Struthio camelus: one gene and its partners. The protein of the gene in region 2 purifies or fractionates together with the protein of the main gene of each other region. This does not show direct contact. Links are inferred from orthologs where the notes say so. Each region holds a gene or a part of one and is shown on either strand. Other genes may lie near its edges.

What was found. The genes of interacting proteins can lie anywhere in the genome.
Region 1: the proteins of EIF4A3 (region 2) and SRSF1 fractionate together in Homo sapiens (co-fractionation; 4 studies listed by BioGRID and IntAct, with this or other methods). This does not show direct contact. The link is inferred for Struthio camelus from reciprocal best matches to the Homo sapiens genes EIF4A3 and SRSF1.
Region 3: the proteins of EIF4A3 (region 2) and UPF1 purify together in Homo sapiens (co-immunoprecipitation; 8 studies listed by BioGRID and IntAct, with this or other methods). This does not show direct contact. The link is inferred for Struthio camelus from reciprocal best matches to the Homo sapiens genes EIF4A3 and UPF1.

What each region holds. Positions count from the first base shown.
Region 1 is NC_090957.1:20,532,308-20,540,265, forward strand, and holds the start of SRSF1 (serine/arginine-rich splicing factor 1), read left to right. Parts: upstream 1-4,917; 5' UTR 4,918-5,424; coding exon 5,425-5,618; intron 5,619-5,950; coding exon 5,951-6,135; intron 6,136-6,424; coding exon 6,425-6,597; intron 6,598-6,860; coding exon 6,861-7,055; 3' UTR 7,056-7,958. UniProt on the Homo sapiens protein: Plays a role in preventing exon skipping, ensuring the accuracy of splicing and regulating alternative splicing.
Region 2 is NC_090944.1:139,884,960-139,892,767, reverse strand, and holds the start of EIF4A3 (eukaryotic initiation factor 4A-III), read left to right. Parts: upstream 1-4,787; 5' UTR 4,788-4,945; coding exon 4,946-5,117; intron 5,118-5,449; coding exon 5,450-5,522; intron 5,523-6,513; coding exon 6,514-6,580; intron 6,581-7,636; coding exon 7,637-7,699; intron 7,700-7,808. UniProt on the Homo sapiens protein: ATP-dependent RNA helicase. Involved in pre-mRNA splicing as component of the spliceosome. Core component of the splicing-dependent multiprotein exon junction complex (EJC) deposited at splice junctions on mRNAs.
Region 3 is NC_090967.1:6,071,384-6,078,957, forward strand, and holds the start of UPF1 (regulator of nonsense transcripts 1), read left to right. Parts: upstream 1-4,533; 5' UTR 4,534-4,675; coding exon 4,676-4,900; intron 4,901-7,574. UniProt on the Homo sapiens protein: RNA-dependent helicase required for nonsense-mediated decay (NMD) of aberrant mRNAs containing premature stop codons and modulates the expression level of normal mRNAs.

The DNA.
Region 1 (7,958 bases), on a different chromosome or scaffold from region 2:
GGCCTGCTTAGCGGTACATGACCACACTGAGCCCGTGCCATCATTTTAAAGGCTCCTGTTCAGAGACGCTGTGTTTTACATAAAGCAAACAAAACAGTCTTCGTTGGTTGTAGCTTTTGGGGATGAAAAGATTTTTTCCACCTGTAAAATCCCTTCTCTCCTACAACTATCCATCTGAATTAATGAACGTCCACCTCTGACTCTTGCGGGCCCTTGCCGAGTTGCGGTCGTGGGCTATGTCTGCCCTAAATGCAGTGATTTAAATTCAGATGGAGTTACGGACAGCAAATGCCAGTCTGTCCAGCATTCTCTTCTGGGCTGGCTTTTCTTGTTTAAGTCTCTGTACCTACGTTTGTTCTTTCAGGCTGGCTTTCAGCAACAATTCACACAGTCGAAATGCATCGTGATATCGCAAGCCACGTGCTTGTGCACTTTTTTACCTTATGTATGAACCTAAATAAATAAAATGAGCTCTACCATCATCCACATTTAGGGGAAATATTTTCAAACCTGCACATATTTTCATTATCTTACCAAGATACTCAAATTTTGTCTGAACAATAAATAACTCCTTCAGTTTCTCTCACTTCCGAAATAGCTACTTAGGTTCTCTCCAATAAAAGTAAAAAATGCAAAATGTAGTCTGATGTTTTAACCACTTGCATTCTCCAAAATAAGGGGAGGTTTTGGCCCCCTCTCCTCGTTTCAAATAATGAGCCACTCTTATTAAAATCTACTTGGGCAGAAAATAGACTCCTCAAGGTCCCATTTAATCTTTCATTTCAGAGCACTCCTTTTATTCCACTGGAAAACACTACTGCCATCCTTCTATGCCCCCCTACACCACAGATCTTGGCATGAAAGACTAGTGGACCCTACTCACGTTCTTACCAACATTGCTGTGGAAAACTAGTGACCTATACTCTCAAAAAAAGAAAATAAATCCTGCCAAACACTAAGCATTGTCACTTTGGGGAAATACTTGAGTCTCAAGAAGATGAGATCTCAAAATCCCACAGAACTGCTCCATGTTACCAGCTCTGCCCTGTTCTATGCAAAGAAACATGAAAAAAATCTTGAAAAACTATACTTTAAATAAATCTTACAAGTAGTCCAAATTAGATTTTCTTCCCGAGGTATCTATCCCAAGTACTACTGTGTATATGCACCAGAACAGCAGTCTGAATAATCATTTTCACACTCTGCACGCTCCCATTCAATAGAGTATTTTTAACCAGTATAAAGAAAACTTTTCCTCAATAACATTTTTATGTACCAATGAACATCCATTGACGAGAAATCACGGACAAAATCAACTAATATGTTTTTGAAACTTTTTTGCACATGCAAATTAATAACACTGATGACAATGAAATCATTCGGCACTGTTTAAAATTGAAGGCCCCTCCAAATATTAACTTTATATTTCAAGCTCCAAAGACAGGATCCATGCATTTCAGTATCTGAGCTTTGATAAACTTATTTTACAACAAAGTAAGATTACTCAAGACTAATCCCAGCTGGACCTGACAGTACTAAGGAGGCTGCCAGTGACTTAGGAAAAACAGGTTCTCACTGACATAGCAAGAGAAGCTGCGAAGGTCACGAAACCGGCCACTCCGAACTGCTACCGAAGCGGTCAGGCGCCGCCTACGCTCGGGGCCGCGAGCTGTGTTCCCTGCTCTGTCGCTAGCTCTCTTAGGTGGTCTTGGGAAAATCGCTCTGCTTCCGACGCCTCGGCTTCACCGCACATGACAATGAATAATGACCCCATTATAAAGCGTTTTAGTATTTTGCATAAAAAGACCCACCTCAGGCATTGGCACGGTTATGCGAAAAAGAGTGAGAGTGCATGTTAACACAATGGGAAGACTTCTGAGAACGAGGGAGAGAGAAAGGAAAGCTGTGAGAACGGCAGAAAGAGCTAAAGCAAACGTGCTATTTTTCTTTCTGTATACGAGAGGGCCTACAGCAGACTAAGAAGCAATTATAACAAATCGTACTGTAGCGTACCTCTATCTGGCAAGCTAGGTACGTGCAGATACTCCTGATACTGGGTTACACGGTTAATATTTGCTTTACTGATCAATATGCTCAAATTGAAAGCCATGCTTTACATTACTCTCATTTTGAAAACTAAAGCCTGTTATTCCACAGTAGTCCGTTTTTTTACAAGATTATTTGCCATTCCCCTCCTGGTAATTTATTTTCTACATAATTAATAACGTTTAATGATTCTCCACAAGCACACTTTGCCAGAAAGCCAAAAGTGACTCTGACAAAGCAAACATGTTTTGCAGCTTATCCAACTGTTTTAAAGCTATCTGTTGGTAACACAAAGCTAAAAATGCAATGAGGAAGAAAATAATCAATAATTCTATAAAGAGACACTTCATTATGGTAATTAAGGCAATGATTTAAAGTAGTTATGAGGATGATTAACACACAAAAGAAATTATGCAATAGGGTTTTAGCAAACCAGGCAGACTTACTACTATTTTATGATGCCTTACAGAGTAACTTTCAGCAATTTAATAAGCTTTTGAAAATAAAGACTAATTTCTTGTCTCTATACCTGGAAAGAGTATATTCTCAGTTTGGGGGGGGGAATTTTTTTAAGTATGCATTAAGTATTTCTACTGATTTGGTAAATGACTAAATTAGCTTGTCAAGTTATGCTGGTTCAAAAGATGTATTTACCAAGAGTACCCAGTGAACTTACGTACGTGGCCTAGAACCACATGGGTACTACAGTCACTGCTTCATCAGTTCATATTCTGGTAGAGTTGTGAAACGGTAATATTCTGTAAAGATGTAGAAAATGTCCAGATAGTGGGTAGTTTACACTCAGAGAAACCACCGCTTCTGAAGATGGGCTTTCTTTTAACATCTTTCAGTGATTAATAGCAGTCTTTTATCTAAACCACTAGCAATCTAACGTAGTTATTACCAATGTTAAAAATCATTAGAGTAGAACATATTACTGTACTTTAACCTACATGAGAGAGAAATGAAAGGCATTCATAATAGTCAAACGCATTACAACATCATACTGGAAATATTTTTCTAAGTCATTAGGACCGCTGTTTTCTAGAGGAATATGCATTTGCAATTAGTACATGAAAAATGAAGTATGCATGACAGACACTACTAAAGAGGCATGACACATTTTTCAAAATCCCCTAATTAACTCAGGAGCCTAAAGGGTTTTTCTGCATATTCACATACTATTTTAACCCTACCACTGTAGTTACAGTGATACAACCTTCCCTGCACCATGTGGACTTGCTTGAGCTGTTATGGAAGATACTACAGAAAGATAAATAAGGGACACGCAGCCTAGCGTTTGTAACAGTACAACTATCTCAGCTGCTTTTTAGGTCTCCCTCCCACACCTGATACAGCGTGTAGACCAAACGAAGAATCTCGTTTCAAAAGCAGTTTGTGATGTGAACTCCGAGCAGCGAAGCGTGGGCAAAACAAAAAGTCAGGGTGGGTTATGGCGAGGTGGGAACGTACCAGGGAACAGCTGCTGCGCTGTAAGGGTTTGCATGCACGCTCTACGCCCTACGCAACGCACAGAAACGTGCACTGTTTACTGAGGGTGCGCTAGTTCGCTTGACCCAGGAGAAAGACTGTGCCCACAGCTACTCGCCAGAAAGTGATGGCCTCCTCCAGCAGTAACACCTTCCTCAGTTTATATTCTTGGACACACTCTTAACAAGAGTGAGACGCAATACCTTTGAGAACCGGACACATTTTCTAAGGTACTTTTGAAATGGAGGCTTGAGATTTCACGTCATTTTATCTGCAGCCTTCCGAAAACCTGCATGCCAACACAGCCTTAAACATCAAGGAGGGACTGCTGGCCAAAACAGTATTATGTTTTTAAACTGAAGTTTGGGTCATCTCCTCCCATCCTCCCTAGTAAGCAGCAGTTTGTACGCTGAACAGTAACACCCACTGCTTTAATAGCTCTTTCAGGACTTTGTGACATACTAGAATATATTGGTCTTTAAAAACGACTTTACGTGCATGACAATCACAGGAACATAATAGTGCTATACATTTTTTTCTTGCTTCTTCTATAGGACTTTATTTTCTGCCCTCCCTTGCATGCATTTCTCATGCATCATAATCTCAAAGCATCCTCATTTGAGACCTACAGTTCCCTGTCTCCCAAATGCTTTTTTGGCTCCTTCGCTTTTTAAAATTCATGCAGACTACAAAGTCAGGCACATCTTTTAAGGTCTGTTTTGTCCCTCTTGCTTTGATCCTCAAACTTATAACACTGGGGCTTTGATGGCTGATTCTTAAGAGGCAGCTGTCCTTCCAGAACAGGATAGCAATCAGTGGGCACTCTGAAGAATGTCGAATTTAGAAAGGGGAAGGCTGCAGGGACCAGTTAGTAAAAAAAAAAAAAAGAAAGAAAGAAAGAAAGAAAAAAATCAGCCCCAAGCTGACTGAACCCCAAGTTCTGACTGGATTCCCCCTCCCCAGGACCGGTGAGGACGGTGCTCTCAGGGCCGAGGGCTGCAGCCGGGCCGGGCCCAGCCCCGCTCCTCATCCCCGGCAGGCCTCCTGCACTGCCTCGGGGCGGCCATTTTACCTCGGGGCAGCGCAGCGCTCTGCCCCTCGGGCAAGCGCCGCTCAGCCCCGCCGGCAAGACCCCCCTGGCTGGACCCCCCGGGCCGGGGCACCCCCAGCCCCGCTCCCCGCGGCCGGGAGGCCAGGCCAGGCCCGGCGCGGCCCCGCCGAGGCCCGCGGCCTCCCCACCGCCGCTGCGCCGCGCCCCGCCGCCCCCCACCCCGGCCGCCGCTGTGCATTGTGGGACACAGCCCGCGCCTTGGCGCCAAGCGCCCCCGCCGCTCCCCGCGCGGTGCACTGTGGGACGGGCCCCTCCCCTGCCCCCAGCCGGGCCTTCTTTGCGTGGACTCCGCACCGGATGTGACGCCACCGGCCTGCCGCCGTGATAAGCGCGGCCGTTGAAGGGGCTCTTGCCCCAAACGCGGGGAGCCGGGGCTCCCTGAGGAAGGATTTAGCTCGCCGCAGCCCTCCCACCGGGAGCTGCGCTGCCGGGACTGGCCCGGCTTCTTAGCTGTAATCGCCGAGAGCCAAAAAAAAAAAAAAAATAGCGGGACTACTTTTTCCTGCCGCGCATGCGCAGGAGGGCGGGGTGGGAGCGCGGCGGCGGGAGACGCGGGCTCGGCCGCACTTGTGGTGGTAAAGGCGGTGCTGCGTCCCGGGGTGAAATCGCTGCGCGCAGTAGGACCGCGAGGGAAGCCGTGGTCGCCATTTTGAAGCGGTTGTTGGGGGAGGCGGCGTGTGTGCGCTCCCGTGTGCCCGGCTCGGCCCCCGCGCTCGCCGACCCGTCCGCTCGCTGAGCTCCGGCTCTCCACCGCCGCAGCCATTGCTGACCTTGCCATGTCCGGAGGGGGCGTGATTCGCGGCCCAGCCGGCAACAACGACTGCCGCATCTACGTGGGGAACCTGCCCCCCGACATCCGCACCAAGGACATCGAGGACGTGTTCTACAAGTACGGCGCCATCCGCGACATCGACCTCAAGAACCGCCGCGGCGGGCCGCCCTTCGCCTTCGTGGAGTTCGAGGACCCCAGGTGAGGCCCCCGCCGGCCCTGCCGTTGGGGTAGGGGGGGTGGGGGGCCCCCCGCGTGTGCCCACCCGCGGCCTGCTGGGGAAGGGAGAACCGCGACGTTTCCCGACCCCCCCCCCCCACAGCCGCCCCAGCGATCCGGGGCACCCGCCGGAGCCCTAACGGCCTCCCCCGTGCTCTCCCCCCGCTCCGTGGGGCGGCCGCGGCCCGCGCGGGGGGAGGGCGGGGTGGGGCCGGCGGGAAGCGGGAACAAAGGCGGGGGGGGGCGGTGCGTGGGCAGGGCGCGGCGGGTTGGGCGCGCTGCGGTCGGCGCTCACCGCCCGTCCCGGCCCGCAGGGACGCGGAGGACGCCGTCTACGGGCGGGACGGCTACGATTACGATGGGTATCGCCTCCGCGTGGAGTTCCCTCGGAGCGGCCGGGGCACCGGCAGAGGCGGTGGCGGCGGCGGAGGGGGTGGCGCCCCCCGGGGCAGGTATGGCCCCCCGTCCCGGCGCTCGGAGTACAGAGTGATCGTCTCGGGTGAGTCCTTTCTCTCTTTCTCTAGTTAACGCGTTTCCCCCGGGGGTCCTCGAGGCGGCTTCGCAGCGCCTGGTTTCCGTGCGGAGCCATGCCGTTCCTGCAGCTTTTTCCCCCCCTTAAAAAGCATCCCCCTCGGGTATTCTGGAAGCAGTGTTCACAGCTTCTCAAGGCAGCCTTTCTCCTTACTGAATAGTTTGTCTCACCTGTTGTGGCATGCTATTGTATCTAATATCTAATACTGTATGATAATGTAGTTCATTTTTCAAGTAATGTATTGCCTTTTATTCAGGGCTGCCTCCAAGTGGAAGTTGGCAGGATTTAAAGGATCACATGCGTGAAGCAGGTGATGTATGTTATGCTGATGTTTTCCGAGATGGCACTGGTGTCGTGGAGTTTGTACGGAAGGAAGATATGACCTACGCTGTGCGAAAACTGGATAACACTAAATTTAGATCTCATGAGGTAGGTTTCATGCTTATTTTTGGGCCAGAATTGGATACAAAGGGCTTAACGATAGGATTTGAAGGTAAGGATGTGTGGTTGCCATTGTACTAATACGCAAAGCATGTAAGCTAAGCCCGTAGTCAGTTTGTCGTAAAATAGACTTTAAAGACTTGATGTCTATTTCTGTGCTTTGGTAAACAATATCTTCAGTCTGTCAGCATGCCTAAAAAGATGGCCGTAAAGCCTAGACCCTTCAATCGAAAGTTCTGTCTATTCAATAGGGAGAAACTGCCTACATCCGTGTTAAAGTTGATGGTCCAAGAAGTCCAAGCTATGGAAGATCTCGGTCACGCAGCCGTAGTCGTAGCAGAAGCCGTAGTCGAAGCAACAGCAGAAGCCGCAGTTATTCCCCAAGAAGAAGCAGAGGATCTCCACGCTACTCTCCCCGTCACAGCAGATCCCGTTCTCGTACATAAATGATCACTAGCAATGATCTTTTTGTAGAACCCCGTGTTGTACACAGTTTTCCTTTACTCAGTACAGTCTTTCATTTTTTAATTCAAACTGTTTTATTCAAATTGGCTGAAGTGTTGAATTGCATTCTTGTGTAAAATCCCTAGTGAGTATTTGCTCCTTAACATCAACATTCCCCTCATGTCTTTGGTAAATTGTATTTTAATTGATGTCAGTCAGGATTGTTTCAATTTAGTTATAGTTAACTACCAACATTCTTCAAACTGTGGTATTGCTGTGTAAATGTCTCAGTGTTCGGCTATGGTTTATACAAGCTGGGGATGTTGGGATGTTTGTGGCTAACTTGTCTCTTCTGGGGGATCTTATATTTTATCTTGCCTTTTCGTGTGTCTTTCTGTAGACATATCTGAAGAGATGGATTAAGAATGCTTTGGATTAAAGGATTGTGGAGCACATGTCAATCATTTTAGGATTGTCAAAAGGAGGATTGAGGAGGATCAGATCAATAATGGAGGCAATGGTATGACTCCAAGTGCTATTGTCACAGATGAAATTGGCAGTATTGACCTTATACTGAGAGACAGGTTAATTGAGTACATGCACCTACTTGTCACTTCTTCAGGCATGTTTTAGTTCCCGCAGACTACAATTGCTCTTTTCTTTAAAACTTTTTTGGCAATTGTGGCTAAATACTTGCTTTTGTAATTCTCTATTCCATTCTAGTTTTTTAAAGGAATAAACCGGGACGGGGTGGGAGTACTGGTTTACTTTGTCATGCAGCATTTGGTTACAAGTGTTAATGTTATGTAGTATTTGTACACTTGTAGATAAAGGGTACCTTCAAATCAGATAGAGTATAATATCAATACTGCTAAAATCTGCATGTCCTCTGTGTGACTGATACA
Region 2 (7,808 bases):
TCAATGGTGCCAATAGGGCTTCTGTTGTCACATCATCCAAGCACCCTCCAGTCCTTGACGTGACCCCCATGTCTCACAGGGAGGCTTGGATCACATCCATCCAATCCCAGATTTTTCTCCAGTCCTGAGGTGGACAAAACCCCATCATTACAAACCTGCCTGCAAGCGCTCCTTCTTCCCCAGACAGGTGCTTGCTGGAAGGCCTTGTGCTTGCTTCACTCACTGCCGCCAGACAAGGCAGCACTAGAGACCCTGAGGATCTCCTTGGCTCTGCACCACTTCCTGGGGCCAAACAGCAGCGACAAGCTCAGACTTGGCAAATCCAGTGCCGTTGCTGGAGCAGAGGTGTGGGCCCACACAGCTTAGCGGGAAGGACAAGCTGCTTCCCTGCCCATCCAACAAATGCCTGGAAAGAAAACAGAGAGCAGTCAGCAGGGCAAAACTAGCAGAGAAAACCCGGAATCTTTCAATACTAAAAAGAGGCTGCAGGCACCCCACAGATACTGGAGAAAGCTCTACAAATAACACCAAGCTGCCAGGAGGTGAGATGTCCTGAACTGTCCCTCAGGCAGCCAAAAGGAGCAAGCGGTAAAGCAGTCTGATCTCCCTAACAACCCAGAAAACTCGGCATCCACAGAAACACTAACACTGGAAGTTATATAGTATCAGATGGTCTTGTGAAAAACATCAGACTAGGACTGCCAGACAACTTTTTGTTTGATCTAGGAGCTAAAATTGGGCTGGAGGCAGCTTAACTCTGCCTACTTCAGAGGCAAGCGCGATTCAGCCAAACTGACCCAAAGAGCAGCACCCAATTGCCAGAGACCCCATGCACAACTGGTAACATCTCCAAGAGTACCAATTTCACACCAAGTTTGGATGCCTTGCCTCACTCAACACTTACCTCAAAGTTGTAAGCCAAAAGAGCCTGAAACGCTTTGTGTTAGTCTTTTTTTTTTTTTTTTTTTTTTTTAAAAGAGTAGTTTTGCCCAGGATCCTGGACGGAGCTCCTCTGGCTGCTGGGGGAATCAGCTATTCACTTCTGCCTTAACGCACTGAAGTTGCAGTTACTTCTAAAGCATTTGCAAACACCTTGACAGTCCCTGGGATTAAAAGCACTAAGCAGAGAGAAATATTTTACATCAGTTAAAGCAGGATGAAGTTTGCTCTGTGCACTAAACGGGGGACAACCTTAGTCAGGAAAGGTGCAGAGATGTCAGCACTTCTGAAGCCCATGTTAGAATTGCGGTCATTTTTCCCCTCTGCCATGAAGTGCATTCCTCTCTCTCCAGTAAAAAAAAGAGGCTTGGCAGCGCTGCGTTATTCTGTATTATCATCCCGATCCACCTGCACAGGGTTTTAACTACTCAGACAGCTCTGGAAGGAGTCGTTTACTTACCGTACAGCGGTGAAGTCCAGACCATCCCCAGGAACTGCCCGGCAAGTGGAAAACTGTCCCCAAATCACTGCCCTCAGGTGCCCAAGTCACCTCCATTAGCGGCTCTTAAATCAGCCCCTCGTGAAACGAAACATCTTGGCCTGAATCACTCTCAGCAGAGCCCCATTGTTCAGCCTCCTTTTTGGGGGGGAAAAGGACAGAGAAACCTTCCCAGGCATGACAGCTGGATTTCTGTCTGGATTCTCTGCAGGACGTTTGTGTCACACTGCCCTTACACACTGTCCTGCATAAGGAACTGGCAATAACTTGTGGATCCTGATAATTAATGGAAATCACCTCCAAGCAACTGCAGATCAAGGCCTTGAACCAGGATCTTTAATTTTAAAGGAAAGCCTTCTTCCTTTAAACTCATCTCGTCAAGCGCTAACAGCCTTGGCTGCTTGAGAGGCGTTGGTGTACCCCGGGAAGAGAGCGTTGCATGGCTGAAAAAGCCAATCTGGAACTCCTCAGTGCTCACTCTGCCATCCTTGTCCAGTTTAGTGAATAAATCCTTGAGTTCCTAAAGACTGAGGTCAAGAGAAGAGAAACCTACCAGCTTCAGAAACACAGCTGCAAGCATCCAAACCAGCTTCTTAAAGGAAATCCCATTTTATTTTTTGCAGTGCAAACAGAACACACAATTAAAAAACCCTCTTTGAAAATTAACACTGCACTTCTTCCATGCACGTACAAAGAATCAAACTCCTCTCCGCCAAGCCTGAAACACTAGCCCAGTGGTGGATCCACACAAGCATGAAAACCATTTGAACCCTGCTCCGGTTCTGGGAGAGAAGGGATTAAGGCCCCCATGCCTACCCCAGGACCCCAAAGAGATGTGCGTTCACCCTGGACATAGCCTTTCATCTTGGAAACGGCAGAATCTTCTCAGATGCACAGCGAAAGGACAAGATATAACAGGCACAAGCTGCAACAAGGAAAACCCTGACTGGCCATAAGGAAAAAATTCTTCCACCTGAGTGTAGTGCATCCCTGAGACAGGTCCAGAAAGGCTGTGCGGTCTCCATCCTGGGAGATGTTCAAACCTTGACTGGACAAGCCCTGAGCAACGTGGTCTAGCCTGGAAGCTGGCCCTGCTGCGGTTAAGAGGACTAGACCAGAGGCCTTCAGAGTTCCCTTCCCACCACTACAGAGCAGCTCCTCTCCAGAGGAAGCTATCTCTGCCTCCAGGGAAATGAAGCTGTGCTGGAGTACACCGGCTGAGGACCAGTGCCTGTGCTCTGCAGGATGCAAAGGTTGCTTCGGACCATCATTTCGACTGTACGCAGTCAATGCACAGCAAATCCCCCTGCCAGTCCTCTCGCAACAGGCTGGCTCCCAGCCTTTCCCCCCTGCTCACCTTCTTCCTGAGCTCCTTCAGCCAAACGCTCTTGCAGACCAGCACCAGCCGAGGAATCCCTTGCCTCCCACACCAAGCGCCTCCCGGAGAGCCTGGACTTGAGCCTCAGCCACGTCCAAGCAAGGGCTGGGCACACGGCAGGGGCTGCAGCCTAGGTCAGGCTTCCAGGTGAAAACATGGTACGAGTCTGCCGTCCTGAAAACAGCCTTCCCACCACGTTGCCAGGGCCTTTACCGCTTTCACCCGCTTCGTTCGCCTTCGGGCTCTGTAAAAAGAAAGAGAAAAGAACGTCAGCCGCTCTCTGCCCCGGGGCGTGGGTCACGCACCCCAAACCTGCTGTCACTCCTCAAGGGTCCAGTTCCTCACAACCGTGTCCGCTCGCAACTGAAGCGGTACCGACCCACGTTCACCTGGTGCACCCCAGGCACCCTCAGACATGCTGGGCCTGGAAACACCCATTTTTCCATGACAGCTCTGTTTCGGCACGTCAAATGGAATTCTAGCTCAGGACTCAACGACCGTCCTGCCAAGTAGGAGAGAACCTTCCCCCGTGAGAGCTGAAGGGTTTGTTCAGAGATCAGCCAAGCAGCTGTCTAGACTGGTGGAAAGAGGACGAGGATGAAAAAGAAAAATCACTGCTGAAGGAGGAGAAAAAGGGGAAAAGAAGATGGAAGATGTAAATCTTGCTGAAATCCCAGACAGGAACGGAAGACGTGGGGTGCAGCACGCCCAGATCCAAACCCTCTGCCCCAGAAGCAAACCTGGAGACCCAGCTCTGTCAAAACGGGACCCCTGCTGCCTGCAGGACACGGGCAGAGGAACGGCAGGGACAGGGCTGGAGCCAGGCAAAGCAAAGCACGCTTTGCTCTTGGCTTCTCTCAGCTTCCTCTACAAATCTCTTTCTTTTCCCTTGTTTGACACCCCTGGGCTTGCACGGGGGTGATACGGGGGCTGAGAGCCAGCCCGTCCTCCACCCGCACGTTGCTCGGGGTGCTGCTGGGTCTGGGGCAGGACGCCAGGGTGCGCATGGGCAAAGCGGGTCCCACATGCAGGCACCTTCTGAAATACCGCTTTTGAAACAAGGGCGAGCCCCCGCGCTACCTGCAGTGCCTCCACGAACGAGAGATGGCAAAAGCACGCAGGCAACGCAAGCCGTCCGACCGCAGCGTTTCTCTCGGAGCGCCTCAGAGAGGCAGGATTTTTCCCAAACGGCCGGCGCAGAGCGGAGGTATTTTCATCACTCTTTGACGCTGGCCGTCACCTCACGAGCTCACAAGCCACCGACGCCTTCGCCGCTCCAGCCCCGGCCTCTCAGCCGCCGGCCAACTCTTTGCAGGGTACGCGTCGGCTGGAAGCCTCTTTCAATGCGTTTTGGGGTACGAATGGCCAAAGCAACGCAAATGAAAACAAACCAGGCTGGGAAAAAGGCCCGTTTTTATTTCCTCGCCGGGAGCACGGCTGCTTGGGGTTTCCACGGTAACTGCCGATTCCTGGCCGGGGAAATCTCTCTGCGCCAAGAGCCTGACCGAGGGCTACGACGCGCCGGGCGCTCAGCACCTTCGGGAGACACCTGGCCTAAGTAATTTTTTTTTTTTAATTTAGGTGTGTAAACACTGATTGACAGCTCCATTCGGGGGCATTTTTTGTTTTCCTTAAGCGGGCTCAGAGCGCTCATCCAGAGCTCATGCTGGGAGAGGAGAGGAGAGGAGAACAGCTCTTCCGGGCCGTTACAGCGAGCGGGAGTCCTGCCGCTAAAAATAATAACAATTAAAAAAAAAAAAACCACCAACAAAGCAAACGCTCAGCCTTAATCGGTAAAATATTTCAGTCAGCAGCAGCAGAAACGCAGCCCCACCACGCCCCTGCCTACACGACGACTAGACGGAGCCGCCGCCGCCCGCACCAAACCGGACAGAACCGGACCCAACCGGACCGGCCCGGGCCGCCTCGCGCGGCTCCTACCTGCCGCCCGCGCCGCCCCGCCGCGCATGCGCGCCGCCCGTCCCGCCCGTCCCACCCCCGCGGTGGCGCATGCGCGCCAGGCCGGGCCCTCCGTGCGTGGCGGCGGTTGTGCCGGTGCCGCTGCGTGCGCGCGGGGGGGAAGGGAGGGGGGAGACGGCGGCGGCGGCGAGGAACGGGCCTCAACAACGATGTCGGGGTCGGCGGGGTCCGGCGGCGCGACCGGCTCGGCGCGGAAGCGGCTCATGAAAGAGGAGGACATGACCAAGGTGGAGTTCGAGACGAGCGAGGAGGTGGACGTGACGCCCACCTTCGACACCATGGGCCTGCGCGAGGACCTGCTGCGCGGCATCTACGCCTACGGTGCGGCCCGGTGCGGCGGTGGGGGGGAGGGGAAGAACCGGGAGCGCGGCGGCGGCGGCGGCGGGGGGAGGGGGCTGGAGGCGCGCGGGGAGGGGGAGGGGCGGGCGGCGGCGGCGCCCGGATGTTGGGGCGGCGCGCGCATGCGCGCTGGAGCGGCGGCGCACGCAGCGTTCCCAGGTGGGGGCTTGAGGCGGAGGGGGGGGCGTGGTCTGGGTTGGGGGCGTGGCCACCATCGGATGGGCGTGGTCTGGAGGCGGAGGGGGCGTGGCGGGGGGGGACCGGGGTGTCCCTGGCCGCCCTGCCTCACCGCCCTTTCCTCCCGCTGCTGGCAGGTTTCGAGAAGCCGTCGGCCATCCAGCAGAGAGCAATCAAGCAGATCATCAAAGGGCGGGACGTGATCGCACAGTAAGTGGAGCCCCCCCCCCCCCCCCCCCCAGTGCACAGAGCCGGGCTCCGATCTCCAAAGGCTTCGGAAATACCCACCTGTTTGTCTTTATGAAGCTGGGGGGGGGGGGTTGCCCAAAAAGATGTGCAGTGAGTTGAGGGTGCTGGACGCCAGATGAACCGCCCACCGTCGGGAGGAGCTGGCGCTGCACGCGGCTCTGCTCGGAGCTGGCGTGGTCAGCGCTGCGAGCACCGGTGACGGTCCGTGCCCGCAGCTGGAGGTGAGGTGCGTCGATGGCGTTTCCCAGCCGTTGCTTGACGTGGCAGAGGACGGGGGAAATCACATCGTAAACGCTGTAGGGTGAAACAGGCCACCCGACATGCAGACAGTGTTCCTGACAGCGCTGGTAATATCTAGCCAACCCAAGTGGGTGATGTTCTAGATGTGCCACTGTGATAAACATTCAGCCAAGATGCTGTGTGTTCTGAATAAACGGGGGTCTGAGACTCTTGGGAGTGGTTTCCAGCAAAGCTAGAGAAGTACAGAGACACGTGCGGTCTCTCGTCAAGGGAAAAGAAGTAAGTAGAAACGATCTTGTATTTGTCTCCGGAAACAAAGGGTATACATCCAATTGAAAAAAAAATTTTCTCAGTCACTGGTGGAAATCAATAGCCTTCTGAATTGTAGCATATCTACTGCTTTACTTTAAAAGAAAAGAAAATCTTGCAAGGCAAATTGCAGAAAGTTGAAATGCTGGTGCAGTAAGGGGTAAACGTGACAGTGCTGGGACCCTGCAGTAGAGAGTACTCTAGCCCTGAGATTACATTTCTTAAAGCTGTTTTTCTTACCAGTCGAACTTGTCTTAGCAAGTTGTTGTTTGCAATATTCACTTCTTTGCAATGAACAAATGGCAGAAAGCTACCTTTGGGCAGAGGGGTGAGAGATGTATGTTGAAATTGCCTCTATTAGCTGTTCAGAAGAAAAAGTATTTACCAAACACCTCTTTCTCAGGTCACAGTCTGGAACGGGGAAGACAGCAACGTTCTCCATCTCTGTTCTGCAGTGCCTAGATATACAGGTGACTTCGCAGCACATGTTAAAAGAATTTTTAAAGTAGATCACTGGCATTTTCATTATAAAAGCCTTCATTTGGCTAGAGTGAAGGAATGAAGCTTTAAACTGAAATCTTTTAATTATGGGCAGTGACCTTCGGCCAAAATTCTGACTGAAAATTTCATCACGCTCTGTTGCTGTCAGGATTTAACTGTTAAACCCACCTTGACAGAATAAAAAGTTCAGATAAAATCTTGCAATTATAAAGCTGCCTTTTAACAGCTAATCTTTTCCAGATGCTTTTATTGACAGCATTAGATGGCTAAATTAATCTTCCAGCAGACAGTTGTCCTCAAACAGTCCTAACATCATCATCAACCTGTCCACGAACAGGTGGCACATATTGCACAGAGTCGAGCCAGATTTTTGCCTGACGGATGTTCATTTTTGTTCTAGTCAGGAGTATTTTGTTCGCCCAAATGTTTTTGAAATACAACTTATTATATAGGTGCACTTGAACATTAGCATGATTTTCTGTGGACCAGTAGTCCCTTAAATTAAGCTTTGTCATTCACTTGGTATTGCTTGGGGACATAATTATTAGCTCCCTGTTCTGAATGGAGAGGTCAGCTTTTCACCTCCTCTCTGTAAAGCGCTCAAAATATTTCGCAAATATGATACTTTAAAACATTGTCTTGGCATCCTTGAACAATGCAAAGCTTTTTTGCCTGAGTTGAAAGTATGAAAGTTAAGTCACTTGAAAATTTGTTTTTATTCTTTTACAAGAAAAGCACACTCGCTTTTATAATTGTTTTCAGAAACGAGGTTGGAATGAAAAATGAGGTGATGAAATGAAGAACTGCATCTTGTCAAAAGTAACTTACATAAGCAGCTGTTCCTGTGTAAACGCTTTGTGTGGGAGCAGCTTTCTAGGTGAACTGACCCTTCCAAGCAGTAGGTTTTAGCACAGAACTCTGTAATTAATCCTTCAAACGTGACATTGTGGAGCACTGTAGGATCTGTAATCTCGGTTGAGCTTGATCAGCCATGGCCATGTGATTAACTGAGCTGTTTTAATCAGGTTCGCGAGACCCAGGCATTGATCTTAGCCCCAACTCGGGAGTTGGCTGTACAGATTCAGAAGGTAGGAGCATTTAAAATGAACTGTACCTTTGGATTTCCCATTCTTTGTCTGTAAAGCACGCGTAAGGCCTGGGGTCAATTCTTAGGTAGTCCCTAGTAGAGCCAGAAGT
Region 3 (7,574 bases), on a different chromosome or scaffold from region 2:
ATTAGTTCATGAAAATCAAATACAAGTAAACAAAAATAGCTCCACAATCTTCTTGTCCAGTGCCTATTAAATGCTCCAATATTTGTTGGTCCAATAGCTAGAGATGGAACAAAAATACAGGCAGCCCAAACACTCCCTATCCCAACACTACTACAGACATTCCAGCAGGAAAAAGGTCAGAAAAGATTATGAAGTTCTGGGAAAAGATCCATTTTAGCTATTAATACTTATTATCACATTTTCTAAAGTCCAGGAAGCTTTCTAGAGATTATTTGGGATGAAGGAAGCTATCAAAATGTTATGATCCCAGAAGACCTTTCCAAACAAAAGGAAATATATGTTGCTATGAATCTTTTCCAACGCTATGTTAGCTTTCCTTCTATGTCCCTCTTGTGGTGACTGAGCAGAAGTGTAACATCTGCAATGGAATGGCTAGTTTACTGTCTTCCAAAATTTTTGCTTTGTTGCTGCATTTTTGGTGCTTTTTTCATTAAAAGATTTTCTCTTTCAAGATTCTTTGATATTGAAAACTTCTCAGTATATTCTGACAAGGAAATAGGTTTTTGCTTTTTTGTTTTTTTTTAAAGTATCCTCTGCTCTTCCATTTCCTAGCAGTCAGGCTAGGTAAAACTCCAAGGGATTTTCACTTGAAGATTTGTTTTAGGAGAGAGGCAAACAAAAGGAAGAACAGAGAGAGAAGAACTTTTAAACTAATGAGAGTTTCATGAATACGAAACCAAAAAGAAAAAATAAATAGATGCTAAAATGCAAATGTGAAGCGACAAAACTGGTAAGAAGGTAAAGTGATTAAATATGCATAATAAATTTACTGATTACATTTATAGTTCTATAATATGTTAATGTATTGCAAAATCACAGTACTTATTGTATAGAAATCACCATCAGCTGTGCAGTGTGTGAGTGTTCCTTATGAATTCTTTATCAAGAACATGGGATCTCCACCTGAGAGATATCAGATAAGGCAAACGTGTACTTTATACGTATTGTCCCCTAACCTGGGATGTTTTATTCCAGGATAAAAATACTTGATTTTTTTAAGCCAACCCTGCCATTTAAAGTAGCAGCTCTGCAAAGATTTTTCACACCCAGTTTGATTGGCTCTGAACCCTTCCCGTCATCATGACACCTCCTAACACTATCTCCAAGGCTTGGAGTTTGCAGAGACCAATCAGTTCATTCTTTTTCATAACAGGTTTTTTTTCACTCTTCTCTTGTGCAGTTAGCAAATCCTGATGCGAGTGTGTCTTGGAATTGAAATGAGTTTCAAGGAAAATCCTTTGGCACAGCTAACTATTCTGAGACAGGATTGAATTATTTCTATCAATGGCTAAACTGCAGTACACATCATTTCAACACTTACAATCAAGAAGAACCTTTACTTTCACCTCTTCAAGATAAACAACTTAAACTTTCTTGCTTATGGAAGCAAGCAAAAAGTATCCTCTTTAAATTCATCCAAATCTGTTCTCTCGGACAGCTTTTTATGACTAAGTATGCCCTGCAAATTCTAGCTTCTATCCATGTATAAAAATGGTAAAACATCATAATTTTCTCAGAGATTGTGTTCTCATTTTCCAGAGCGTTACCTTTTTAGATTTCATATTGGGCACGCAGTAGTAAAGACCAATGACTCAGAGTGGCCATCCCGCTACATGAGCCCATACTTAAAAGATAAAACTTTCACAAGAACATTAGATAAAACACAGCTCACAGAAACAAATGTTGTCCAGGAAGCTTTGTAGTGCAGCCTGCATACATTTTTTACCTCAAAATACACCAGAGTAGTCCACAGAGTTTCTCGCATGCAGTAAACTATGATCAAACAATTATGCCATGAGATACAGATGCAGCCTCTCCAGAAGTCATGCCTCTATATTGGTACAAACACAACCGGGAGCCTAACGGCCACGACTAATTACCAGTCTAATCTAGCTTGCCCTTGTTGAAACATATCAGAGTGAACTATAGGCTTTCCACACCTGACTCACTATGGTTTTACTTTTTACCTGTGTAACAGGGAAACTGAACCTCCTGGGGGGTAGGGGATCCACAGAACCTCTTTGCAGCCCTCCAATTTCAGCACCTTAGACAGCAGCGCGATTCTGTCGGAGGACACAGCTTACGTCGCTGGTGCTTCCGTATCACAAACTGAGTTCAGCTTCTGATGGCACTATGAGCGCAGGACCTGCAACTTTCTATATGTTTTCCAACTAAAGTCTGTTTGAAAACATTCTTATTTTCCGTATTATGCAGAGGACAGGGGGAAAAAATCCAGGCAGCCATTAGCAACACATCAAAACTTTGATCGGTGTCCAAAACTTTTGAGGATTCTGTAAACCAGCCAAAAGTTGAAGTATGTTTTGTTTATTCATAAACAAGTGTCTGTACTAAACGGCCTACCTGATTTTATAAATTTCTTCCTCAATTCTGCTTTCATCCTAAAGTAGGATTTATTATTTTCTCACAGTTGTACTTTTCCCTAAACTACAAAACAGTTAATTTCCAGTTTGCTTTATGGAAATACCAATTTGGTTCATCCTCTGAATGCTTTCCAATGAGATTATAGGTGGTACTTAATTCAGCTGTATTTCACCTTCAGGAATCAAAGAGCCTAAACATTCGGACTGTCCTGTAACACTGGTGAAATTATGTATGACTTATCTTGATATCACTGTGCAAAATAGCAGCTAATGCGGCAGTCATAATTCCAGAATCAATTTTTCATTCTGCCTTTTGGTTTTAGTCGTTTGTTTGATTAATCTACTTTAACCTGAATCTTGAATTAGGATACTTTTATAATAAGCTATTGGTGTAGTCTCCTTCTTCACAGAGGCTTAAAGCTAAAGAGGAATTCAAACAGTCAGTGTGTGAAAAATGATAACTAACTCTACTTGCTTTTTCCCCCAATTTGGTGCACAATATTCCCAGGACAAGGATATTCTTCTGTCTTCAGCTACATCTTTTCGGCTTAACAGCTGCAAATCTGGTCCCACATATTGTTTTGGTTCCAGGCTTTATCCTACACCAACAGCAAGAACAAAATTAAAGTTACTTACAAAAAGGCAGTACATATTTGCATCTTACAGTTGTCAAATGAAGTCTTTAGTAGGGAAAACGGATTGAATATCTAACTTTTCGCGTCAATGTTTTTCACAACACAGAAGTTATCTCAAAAAAAGATGCTTTGTTCTAATAAAAGGATGTTGAAATGAGGGCACTCAAATTTTCTCTTTATTTATGGGTAGCAACACGTGATACTCACCTCCTCTGCAGAGCCCAGTCATTCACCTTCCTCGACCTGGAGGAATTTCCATGGCCCACTCCATTACCCCCACCCTGTGGCAACTCAGCTTTCTGACTATTTTTACACTGTTAAATTATGACTATTACGAGTATAATAGGTATTACAGCTAGAGCAGATATTATTATAACAGTGGAGCCTTCTTAATCATCACGTCTGTCTCAAAACAGACCTCAAGCCCCCCCACACAACTCTCCTACCTGCTCTCTGCGTGACTCAACGCACTCATTTCAAACGGGGGACATGAGGTAAGGAGGCCGTAGAAAAGGTGCTAGCAGCTCCCGGCGAGGACGAGGGGGTGAAGGACCCCACGTTGCCTCCACAGGGGCAAACACCACCACGAGCCCCCCCCATGGCTTACCCTTACACGGGCCGTGCACCACCACAGTCCCCCTCCCCTCCCCCACCACCACAGAGGCCGCTGCCTCCACAGGGGCCGGCCACCTCCGCAGCCCCCCCGCAACCACAGGGGCCGGCCACCACCATAGCTCCCCCCCTCCCGCTCCCGTCGCCTCCACAAGGGCCGATAACCACCTCCCCCCCCCCCGAAACCCCTTGCCGTCACAGGCGCCAACCGCCACCACAGGGGCCAACGGCCGCCACAGGGGCCAAAGGCTCCCACAGCGCCCCCCCTCCCATACAGCCCGCCCTTCCTCCTCAGCTCGAGGGCCCATTGGCTGTCAGGGCCGTCAGTCAAGGAGTAAGCCCCGCCCCCTACGCGCCGCCGCGGGCGGGGGGAAGGAGTTGAGCGGGGGGAAAAGGGGCAGCGCCCCCCGCCCGCCAGGTGGCTGGCGGCGCCTCCCCCGCGCGGCGCGGCGCGAGCCCCTTCGCGCCTTCCGCCGGAGCCCCGCCCCCTCGCCTGCCCTCCCCAGGTGTGTGCGTGCTACGTCACCCCTCCCACGCGTACGGGGCGTGCTGGCGTCGTCGTCCCTCCGTGCGCTGCGCGTCACCGCTCCTGGCCTGGCGCGCGGCGGCGGCGGCGGCAGCAGCGGCGGCGGCGGCGGCCGGACGGTTCCGCTCCCAGCGCCTCGGGGCTCGGTTCTGTGGCGGGGCCCGCCCGCTTCCCCCTCCCCCCCGCCTCCTTCGGCCGCGTCCCCCCCCCCGCCCGCCTTCCTTTCCCCCCCCCCCCCTCCGCCGTTGGCTCGGCCGCCCCGGCGGCGGGTTCGTTGGTGGCCGGCCGGCTGGCGCGCGCGCGCGCGGCCTGGTGCGCGCGGCGGATCCTGCCGCTCGCGTAGCGCGGCGCCCGGGCTCGCTGAGGTGAGGCCCGGCCGGGCTCGGCCTCGGGCACGGGCTCGCGTTTTTTTTTTTGGGGGGGGGGGAGAAGCGCCGCTTCTCGACGCCGCCGCCGCCGCCATGAGCGTGGAGGCGTACGGCCCCAGCTCGCAAACCCTCACCTTCCTGGACACCGAGGAGGCCGAGCTGCTCGGCGCCGACACGCAGGGCTCCGAGTTCGAGTTCACCGACTTCACCCTCCCCAGCCAGACCCAAACCCCGCCCGGGCCCGGGCAGGCGGGGCCGGGGCAGGGCCAAGGACCCCCCGGAGCGGGGCAGGGGCCGCCGGGACCCATCGAGGCACAGGTGAGACCGCGTTGGTGGCCGGGGGGGGGGGGGTCAGGGCGTCTCCGCCACCGGGGAAGCGGAGGAGGGAGGTGGGGGGGGTCCGGAAGGGGCGGGCGGGCCCGGCCGTGGGGCCGGCGAGGGGAAGCCCTGAGCGGGCTGGGCGCTCCGGACGGGAAAGTGGAAGCGGCGTGATGCTGACCCGCGCAGAGGAGGCTCCCGGCCGCGGAGCGGGCGGCCCGGCGCTGGCTGCCCTCCCCGAGCCGGCAGCCGGGGGGGTGGGGGGGGACACACGGGCCTGAAACCCGTGGGCTTTTCTTCCTTCCCTGGGAACGGAGGGAGAGGGCGCCGAGGCTAAAAACTTGCGGTCTCTCTTCCGCTGGTAAAGCCAGCGGCCCTCTCTGTTGGATCGGGACAGGCGCGTCGCTTTTCGGTGCGATGCCGAAGTAAGACATCGGAGATGCTTCAGGATGTGGTCGCGGCTTGTTTCCGTCTTTAAAACAAATATAATTACAGGTAGTACTTGCTTTTCCAAAAGTTGGATACTGCACCTGTGGAAATTCACTGTTACTCCCTTTAATTTATTCCTTTCTCTGACTGAGACCAATAGATGCGTGTTTTTTTTTTAATTATTATTTTTATCCTTACTCTTTGCCACCTTTCCTCCTGCACAGTTGCTAAGCTCGTTTGTTTTGGGTTGGTATGGGATATGGGAGCAACAAGCAATATGGCCTTATGCTCCAATTCAGAGGTCTGTTTCCTGATAGCTTAAAAATGAGTATTTTTTTATATAGTCTGATGTTGGTTGGTAGATGAGTTTGTTATTTGACAGTAGTGGCCTTACAGAAGTGAAAGCAAAAAGGGAACTGCGGTTATATACTCGCATGCCAAGAAGTGTTCTAAATGAGAATGCTGTCTGTCTCTGTGCCACACCTTGGCGGTGTACGTAACAAAAAAACCTGAGAAACTGTTCCATATTTTTAAAAAAAGTGAAACTAGGCTCTCCATGTGAAGATCGTGGAATGTACTGATAAGTTTTATTGCATCTAGGTAAACACTTATGTAGTTCTATTGTTAATGATGAAATGATTATAAATTATCCATGTTTTAAAGCATGACTTTAAAGATGAGTTGAAATACTGTAGATAAAAGTTCTTAATCCTGAACCAAAACACAGTTTGGATGGTTTTTGATTTTTTCCTCTTACTTGCAAATACTGACTGATGTATGGGGTTCCATAAATGATATAGCTGTGGATATACAAGTGAGCAAACTTAAAACAGGTCAAGCTGTCCAGGTATTGAAGATCTACAGGTGTGCGGTGCAAGGCTAAAAGTGGTATTATCCTGCCATAGCAGATGTATCCCAGGATGAATTGATTGATTGTCTTGTGTTTTCAGATGCTTAGCGTACACCCTGGGTGTAGCTGCTATGGTGTGACTTGCTCCAGGTTCGCATGCTTATGTCTGTACCCAAAGGTGGAATTAGAGATGTGACCCCGTGGGCTGTTTGTTGTTTTATTTTATAATAATTAACAACTCAGATTTAGATTTGGCAAGGTAAACATTTTTCCTATTTGAGAATTCAGGCATCACAATTATTAAATATTGATAAAATCTGTGTGTCTGTATGCAGTCAGCATATATATTAATTGGTTGAAAAGGTAGCTTTAATAAAGTCGTCTTAATTTTCAAAGCTTTAATCGGTTGTGATCTTTCCAGAACTCATGGTAGAGAACTACAAGCCAGAAGAACAAAAAAAAAAAAAACCCAAATAAACTTATGCTAAAAGACCAGACTAGAGGATTTTTTTTGTCTAAACATGTTTGAAAAGCCTTTGAAGTAAAATGGGAAAAAAAAAAAAAAAAGCATAGAGAGCACATTCAGGTATTAAGAAGTCGATAGCCATCCTGCCAAGGGGAAAGAATGGTGCATTTTTTTCTTCCTTTCCTTTTTTCTTTTTGTCAAACTGAATACTCTTAAGGTGCTTTTTGCAGAATCTTTCTGATGCTCATCTTGATGCCAGAAGTTATATGCTGGGGAGAGGGGAACGGACCTATTGTGACAGTAACTGCCAAAAAACAAATCCCTCTATCTGTTTAGGCTTGTACATTTCAACAGTCTCATCTGTTATAAGATCAGAAGTTATATATTTTTAAAGATTGTGGAGAATATTTTGTTACTTTGAATATGTAAACTTGTCGTGTCTTTTGACAGGGAAGATGCTAAAAATGCAACTTCAAAGGCCTGAAAATTGATCGCATTCATTTTTTCTCAGTTAATTTTTGTTACTGTAATATAACTAAAGCTAATTAAATGTATAATCATTATTCAAAGCTGATAAACACTGGAGACGTGTCATTTTATCCTGCTGTTCCATGTTCTGATATCTTCTTAGTGTCCTGGTGTTTAAAAAGATTAGTCGAGAAAGACAGAGCACCTAATTTCTTAAGAAAATGTGATTGATTTAGCCACTCTAAAGGGGCTTCCTTCCCCTACATATATTTAACTAATAGTTTAAGAGGATGTTGTTGCAATAGATTAGTATGCAACTGACAAAAGGTAGTGAGAAGATAACAGTGCAGAAGCAATTCTGCTGTTTCTCTTTGGAAAACGTTATTTTTGTTGTTTACATATGGCATGTTTAGGCAAATCAACTCATATGTTCAATTTTAATACTTCTAAGATAAATTCTG